2 linked regions of the Xenopus tropicalis genome follow. The protein of the gene in region 2 purifies or fractionates together with the protein of the main gene of each other region. This does not show direct contact. Links are inferred from orthologs where the notes say so. Each region holds a gene or a part of one and is shown on either strand. Other genes may lie near its edges.

Region 1 (3,820 bases), on a different chromosome or scaffold from region 2:
TTATTCCTTTTTCTTTCCACATTTAGGAAGCTCTTATGGCAGCTGAAATTAGTCAGAAGAACATAAAGCGGCATGATGTCTTGGTAAGTTACGCAACTTACATTATTTCCCTTAATATTCTATTAATATTTATCAAGTATTTCTGATTTCCTTTACAAATAAAGTGCTTATTATTTTTGGTGAGTTTTCAAAATGATTCTCTGCTGGGGAAAAATCCACTGCTTATATGAGATACAGATCTCTCCATGGAACAGGCCAGATAGAAGAACAGAAAGAAAGCAAATATGGGATTCTTAGAAAATAGATTTACTCTTGCAAGCTCAGAATTTTCTTATTAAGCTTTATTAGTTGTTTTCCATAACTGCACCAAAATATTACACAGTGTTTTTAGGAATAACATTTATAATTAGTGGGGTAACCAAAGCACTACTTTTAGTGAACGTTTTTCTGTTCATTTAAAGTAAGGAAGGAGGTATATGGACACATGCCCAGATAAGCTGTGGAGAAGTTGTTACAATTTGCAACATCAGTGTTTAGTCCCTCCTCCCCTGCCTGGATTTCAAATGAACGGTTTTGCAGCTGGATTCCAACTAGGGATGCACCGAACACAGGTTTTTGGGTTCGGCCGAATACAGAACCAAATCCGAATCCTAATTAGCATATTTCCGGGAGTGAAATTTCTTTCACTTCTGTGTTCGCACGGACATTTAACCCTAATTATGCTAATTAGGATTCGGTTCGGCCAGGATTCAGCCAAATTCAGCCAAATCAGAACCCTGCCAAAAAAGGCCAAATCCTGGCCAAATCCCGAACCGAATCCTGGATTCGGTGCATCCCTAATTCCAACATATAAAAATTATATTTATTTGTACTTTTTGAAGGAACAGATTACACTGATAGGTATATTAGGGGTTTCTGTGTTGTATGTTTTAGGTTGGAAGCTTGAGTTCCTCTTTTATTAGCATCAATACGGTGAAGGAACCAATCAGAACTAACACAATAAAAACCAATCCAATGCTGACAAGTAAATGCTAATTGCTGATTAGTTGCTATGGGTTACTAGATCCAGGAAAATGTTACACCTTTTATTACAATAATTTCAAATGAGAATAGACATAAAGATACCAAACAAGCAGATCTTTGTCTGATTTGGCCATCAATGTGCTGGGCTAAGTCAGACTGATCTGATCATTCAGCTACTGGGCCAATGATCGGATCATAAAAAAGCCCTATGCAGGTCTGTCGGGAGAGGACTACACCCACACACTGATTTGCTTGTCTCCCAGTACAGCACCTCTCCACTGGACTTCTTTACCTTTATACAAGGATTTAAGCTAAATAGTTTCAGCAGCACAGGGATTGGTAAAGCACCAGGCACAAAATGTGAAGGAAACCTCGGGAGAGACATAGAAAGAGGTGGTACTTGTAAAACAAATGGTTTGGTCTGTGGTAGAAAGGAGATGGTTGGAGGCTCATGTGAAAGAAGCCTTAAGTTGCTGTACTCTGCTGGCTCTCTTAGTAGACGTCTTATTGGGTGGTGGGGTTTGCCAAGATCTTCTAGGGGTCCTTAGAGTGTTTTTTCTCCAAGTACATAAGAGTAACACAACAGTCCAGTTTATATATATATATATATATATATATATATATATATAATGTATTATTCTTGAGACTACAATTTAAACATTGACAATTTTCATGGTTGCATCTTTGTGTGGACACATGTATGTATGTATGTATATCTTTATTTATAAAGCGCTACTTATGTACACAGCGCTGTACAGTAGAATACTGTACATCTGTTTGCAGATGTTAATATTTCTTTTTTAGGATATTGGATTATCGTACATAACTCATTTGGTGGAAAAACGAGATTATGACATGGCAGCAAGGTAACTGCATGACTACTTGCCTGGGTTTATTAAAGGAGAAGGAAAGGTAAAAACTAAGTAAGCTTTATCAGAAAGGTCTATGTAAATACAGCCATAAGCACTCACAGAAACACTGCACTGAGTCCTCTATCAAAAGAAACACATGATTGATTGTCTCCTGTTTTCCTGTGCCAGAGTCTGGCACTTTGACTCATTCAGTTGTATTTGTAAAGTACATATGTATAGGCCATCAACTTAATACTAGTACTAAAATGTTTCCAATCGGAGTGCAGCCTTTATTACCCCGCACATCTGGTGGGGGAAGCAATATCCTTAAATTACTCTTAAAAGGGGAAGATATATAGTGAAATCTAACACATAAATGAGTTTCTTATGAATGAGATTTTTTTTTTCAGAAAATGTCAGAAAATACTTGGCAAAAATATGAAACTCTGGGAAGATGAAGTCTATCGGTTCAAGAAAATAGGGCAACTTAAGGTAATGTTTAAAACATGTATGTAGTACAGGTGTTGGATCTTTTATCTGGAAACCTGTTATGCAGAAAGCACTGGAATGCCATCTCCCATAGACTCCATTTTAATAAAATAATCGAGTCGCTGCTGTCATGATTCAGTTACCGGGGGCAGCAAAAAGTCGTTTCTGGTAACTTAAAGAGCCGAAATTCCGATTTTAAATCAGAATTTTGGCTCTTCTAGTGCAGCGAGCGCTATAGGGTAAATTAACTCCCTCATGTTTCATCCAGTTTCAAGTGAAACTTAAACACATTATCGTTTTCCAAGAATGAGCACCAATGCTCCTAAAATGGCTGCTGGAGCAATTCCTGTGTGGGAAATATAAAGAGGATTAATGGAAACGAATGTTAGTTTAAACTCAAATTTTTTCAAGTTTTAACGACACGGCTCTCGGCTTAAAAAATTCGGGATTTCCAAATATAAACTCGAAAATTTTATACAAATGATTCAAGTATTACCGTGACATTTTTATGAATATAACAATAAACGAGTTTAATTCAAATTTATACCATGTCAAGTTTATATGATTTTCATTCATCCAGGTCACAATATAAAGTATCTAGTAGAATTAAGTCTAAAACAACTGGACTTTTTCTGAGTTTTTTCTTGAAAACCTTTCACCACTCATCCGAGTGGCTTCTTCAGTTCAAATGGTTTAAATGCCGGGGAATTCCTTACCAGTCATTTGAACTGAAGAAGCCACTCTGATGAGTGGTGAAAGTTTTCAAGAAAAAGTAAATCTGGGAAAAAACGAAACATAAAAAAAAAAAAAAAATCAAACTTTTCTCAGAGAACCTAAGTAAATGGGCCCCTTACTGTCTCTTATTACCATACTTTTGGGGGGTTAGTGTGTTAGTGTATTGCAGCTAAAAATGAAATGTATCTCTGTCTTGCAGGCAATAAGCAAGTATCTGCCCAGGGGAGATTTACGTCTGAGACCTGCAATTTATGAAATGATCTTGGATGAGTTTTTGAAAACAGATTATGAGGTATTGTGTTCATTTTAATACAATATTATGCACATTTATTGCCCATGATTCAAGGCACACAAAAGTTCTGAATGCAAATGGAGCTGTAACTATTGTATCTCTTTAGAATATTACATCATCTTTAAAGGGAGTAATATAAAACAGTTTCACTACCCAACACTACTTCTACATAGCCAGCCATAGACCTCTCAATTTTTTTTAAAAGTTAAGTACCTAGTGTGAAATGCACCAAGGCATGTCATATAACAACTCCAAAAATATACATTTATAATACACAAGAACCATGAATATCCTGTAAATAATATCCTTATAACCGGTACTTAGTGATGTCATCAGTTATAATTGGTACTTAGTGATGTCATTTCTGCCACATGACTCACTGAAAGTTGTATATTATAATAAAGTCCCCCCTGTGAAAAATATGAGGATA
Region 2 (4,352 bases):
AAATAATTTATTTAAATTGTGAAAGAACTCACAACACTGAGTAATTTTACAACTGGTATAGGGTTTTCTGGAATGTCATTGGCTAAATGGAATCTGATGGAGATTGGTGGCAAGATTTCCCCACTGCAGAGGTTGGAAACTTGGGTAAAAGGTGTACCTGAGTGTAGCCAGCTTTAGGGTCTTAAAGGAACAGTAACACCAAAAAATGAAAGTTTTTTTTCAAGTAATTAAAATAAAATGGACTGTTGCCCTGCACTGGTAAAAGCTGTGTGTTTGCTTCAGTAACACTAATATAGTTTATATAAATAAGCTGCTGTGTAGCCATGGGGGCAGCCATTCAAGCTGGAAAAAAGGAGAAAAGGCACAGGTTACATAGCAGATAACAGATAACCTCTGTAGAATACAATGGTGTTTTATCTTTTCTTCTTTGAATGGCTGCCCTGTGGCTACACAGCAGCTTTGTTTATATACATTTCTGAGGCAGTTGTACCAGTGCGGGGCAACAGTACATTATACTGTAATTACTTCTATACACTTTCATTTTTAGGTGTTACTGTTCCTTTAATCTTATGAGTAGGATCTTGTCAGGAGTCTGATTGTCGGGTTCACAGATACCACGTCACTGGGTGCTGTGCTCATGGGTGCTGTGCTCACTTCCTTCCTGGCATTAATATGAATATGCCAATTACTTACTAATTAGTCCTTACAGTCACTGGAAATGTAATGAGCTGGCCCTGACACATTGAAGGTATTAACTCTTTAGGAAAGGGAACAGTATGTACAAGGAGGGTAAATCAGAAGATGAAATGTTCAATTTTGATGGACCAACTGTGGGACAGTGTGGCTTGAAATCAACCAGATCAGCAGACCCAATGTGGGTATCACGTCTGTTTAGTTTTGCCCCATAGAAACTGGTTGCTATGGGTTAGACCTATAGGGGAATATTTATTGTGCTGTATAAAAAGTGGAGTAAAACATAAATGGTGATGTTGCTTATAGCAGCCAATCAGATGCTGTTGAAATCTAATTGCTGATTGGTTGTCCTGGGCAACATCACCAGTAATGCTTGACAGCATCATAAATATACCCCATAGTGAACTACTTTACAAAGCACAGAAGAAACAGTTTTCAGCCAGATGTAGAGTCTTTAAACCTAGTGTGTTCTTTACTTGAATCTAATATATATTTATTTTATATTAATTTTAATTATGTTATTTTAATTTTATATATATTTGTTTATTAATATTTATTAAACTACTTCTACTACTACTACGCCCTAACCCAGCCTAAAAATAATCAACTCCCCGCACCGTTCCAGAGTTGTCTCAGTTTAATCCCCCGATAAACGGCATGAACACAGCACAACAGAAGCTAGTAGCGCCGTACGGCCACTCTCCCAGAAGCAGGCCCATCCCACGCCCCGCCCACAGTGTTGCGTCCCTCTCTGGGCCCCGCCTCCCATGAACGTCAAGTGGAATGGAGTTCACGTGACCGGAAACGAAGTGTCCCCTGAAGAGAAAGAGCAGCAGCGGTAGGGGCAGGAGGAGCAGGAGGTGCGAGTGTTGGCTGCGCTGTTTGCTCGGGCACCTGGAGTCTTCTATCCGCACAGGTAACCAGCAGCATTGCGCCAATTTACTGAGTGTCGCTAGCGTATCTCACTCTAATGCAACCCCTGTGCTGATACTTCTTACTGTGCTGCCTACCTACCTGCCTCTTCTGGGTACCCACTGGCACCTCTCATTGTACCCAGGCAGGGGCAATAACCTGCCTCTTCCTTGTGTCGGGGGGACCCACCTGCCCCTTGCTTGTAACTGGGGAGCGTCCACTTGCTCCTTTCTTGTGACTGGGGGGCACCCACCTGCCCCTTGGTTGTAACTGGGCTGGCACCCACCTGCCCCTTGCTTGTAACTGGGGAGCGTCCACTTGCTCCTTTCTTGTGACTGGGGGGCACCCACCTGCCCCTTGGTTGTGACTGGGTGGCACCCACCTGCCCCTTGGTTGTAACTGGGCTGGCACCCACCTGCCCCTTGCTTGTAACTGGGGAGCGTCCACTTGCTCCTTTCTTGTGACTGGGGGGCACCCACCTGCCCCTTGGTTGTGACTGGGGGGCACCCACCTGCCCCTTGGTTGTGACTGGGGGGCACCCACCTGCCCCTTGGTTGTAACTGGGCTGGCACCCACCTGCCCCTTGGTTGTGACTGGGTGGCACCCACCTGCCCCTTGGTTGTAACTGGGCTGGCACCCACCTGCTCCTTGGTTGTAACTGGGCTGGCACCCACCTGCCCCTTGGTTGTAACTGGGCTGGCACCCACCTGCCCCTTGGTTGTGACTGGGTGGCACCCACCTGCCCCTTGGTTGTAACTGGGCTGGCACCCACCTGCCCCTTGCTTGTAACTGGGGAGCGTCCACTTGCTCCTTTCTTGTGACTGGGGGGCACCCACCTGCCCCTTGGTTGTGACTGGGGGGCACCCACCTGCCCCTTGGTTGTGACTGGGGGGCACCCACCTGCCCCTTGGTTGTGACTGGGGGGCACCCACCTGCCCCTTGGTTGTGACTGGGGGGCACCCACCTGCCCCTTGGTTGTAACTGGGCTGGCACCCACCTGCCCCTTGGTTGTGACTGGGTGGCACCCACCTGCCCCTTGGTTGTAACTGGGCTGGCACCCACCTGCTCCTTGGTTGTAACTGGGCTGGCACCCACCTGCCCCTTGGTTGTAACTGGGCTGGCACCCACCTGCCCCTTGGTTGTGACTGGGTGGCACCCACCTGCCCCTTGGTTGTAACTGGGCTGGCACCCACCTGCCCCTTGCTTGTAACTGGGGAGCGTCCACTTGCTCCTTTCTTGTGACTGGGGGGCACCCACCTGCCCCTTGGTTGTGACTGGGGGGCACCCACCTGCCCCTTGGTTGTGACTGGGGGGCACCCACCTGCCCCTTGGTTGTGACTGGGGGGCACCCACCTGCCCCTTGGTTGTAACTGGGCTGGCACCCACCTGCCCCTTGGTTGTGACTGGGTGGCACCCACCTGCCCCTTGGTTGTAACTGGGCTGGCACCCACCTGCTCCTTGGTTGTAACTGGGCTGGCACCCACCTGCCCCTTGGTTGTAACTGGGCTGGCACCCACCTGCCCCTTGGTTGTGACTGGGTGGCACCCACCTGCCCCTTGGTTGTAACTGGGCTGGCACCCACCTGCCCCTTGGTTGTAACTGGGCTGGCACCCACCTGCCCCTTGGTTGTGACTGGGCTGGCACCCACCTGCCCCTTGGTTGTGACTGGGCTGGCACCCACCTGCCCCTTGGTTGTGACTGGGTGGCACCCACCTGCCCCTTGGTTGTGACTGGGTGGCACCCACCTGCCCCTTGGTTGTAACTGGGCTGGCACCCACCTGCCCCTTGGTTGTAACTGGGCTGGCACCCACCTGCCCCTTGGTTGTGACTGGGCTGGCACCCACCTGCCCCTTGGTTGTGACTGGGCTGGCACCCACCTGCCCCTTGGTTGTGACTGGGTGGCACCCACCTGCCCCTTGGTTGTAACTGGGCTGGCACCCACCTGCTCCTTGGTTGTAACTGGGCTGGCACCCACCTGCCCCTTGGTTGTAACTGGGCTGGCACCCACCTGCCCCTTGGTTGTGACTGGGTGGCACCCACCTGCCCCTTGGTTGTAACTGGGCTGGCACCCACCTGCCCCTTGGTTGTAACTGGGCTGGCACCCACCTGCCCCTTGGTTGTGACTGGGCTGGCACCCACCTGCCCCTTGGTTGTGACTGGGGGGCACCCACCTGCCCCTTGGTTGCGACTGGGTGGCACCCACCTGCCCCTTGGTTGCGACTGGGTGGCACCCACCTTCCCCTTGGTTGCGACTGGGGGGCACCCACCTGCCCCTTGGTTGCGACTGGGTGGCACCCACCTTCCCCTTGGTTGCGACTGGGTGGCACCCACCTGCCCCTTGGTTGCGACTGGGTGGCACCCACCTGCCCCTTGGTTGCGACTGGGTGGCACCCACCTGCCCCTTGGTTGCGACTGGGTGGCACCCACCTGCCCCTTGGTTGCGACTGGGTGGCACCCACCTGCCCCTTGGTTGCGACTGGGGGGCACCCACCTGCCCCTTGGTTGCGACTGGGGGGCACCCACCTGCCCCTTGGTTGCGACTGGGGGGCACCCACCTGCCCCTTGGTTGCGACTGGGGGGCACCCACCTGCCCCTTGGTTGCGACTGGGGGGCACCCACCTGCCCCTTGGTTGCGACTGGGGGGCACCCACCTGCCCCTTGGTTGCGACTGGGGGGCACCCACCTGCCCCTTGGTTGCGACTGGGGGGCACCCACCTGCCCCTTGGTTGCGACTGGGGGGCACCCAC

Evidence for each region.
Region 1: the proteins of plekhm1 (region 2) and vps41 purify together in Homo sapiens (affinity purification with western blotting; 4 studies listed by BioGRID and IntAct, with this or other methods). This does not show direct contact. The link is inferred for Xenopus tropicalis from reciprocal best matches to the Homo sapiens genes PLEKHM1 and VPS41.

Annotation. Positions count from the first base shown.
Region 1 is NC_030679.2:130,755,826-130,759,645, forward strand, and holds part of vps41 (vacuolar protein sorting-associated protein 41 homolog), read left to right. Parts: intron 1-26; coding exon 27-83; intron 84-1,827; coding exon 1,828-1,889; intron 1,890-2,284; coding exon 2,285-2,366; intron 2,367-3,297; coding exon 3,298-3,390; intron 3,391-3,820. UniProt on the Homo sapiens protein: Plays a role in vesicle-mediated protein trafficking to lysosomal compartments including the endocytic membrane transport and autophagic pathways. Acts as a component of the HOPS endosomal tethering complex.
Region 2 is NC_030686.2:37,758,884-37,763,235, forward strand, and holds the start of plekhm1 (pleckstrin homology domain-containing family M member 1), read left to right. Parts: upstream 1-1,429; 5' UTR 1,430-1,609; intron 1,610-4,352. UniProt on the Homo sapiens protein: Acts as a multivalent adapter protein that regulates Rab7-dependent and HOPS complex-dependent fusion events in the endolysosomal system and couples autophagic and the endocytic trafficking pathways.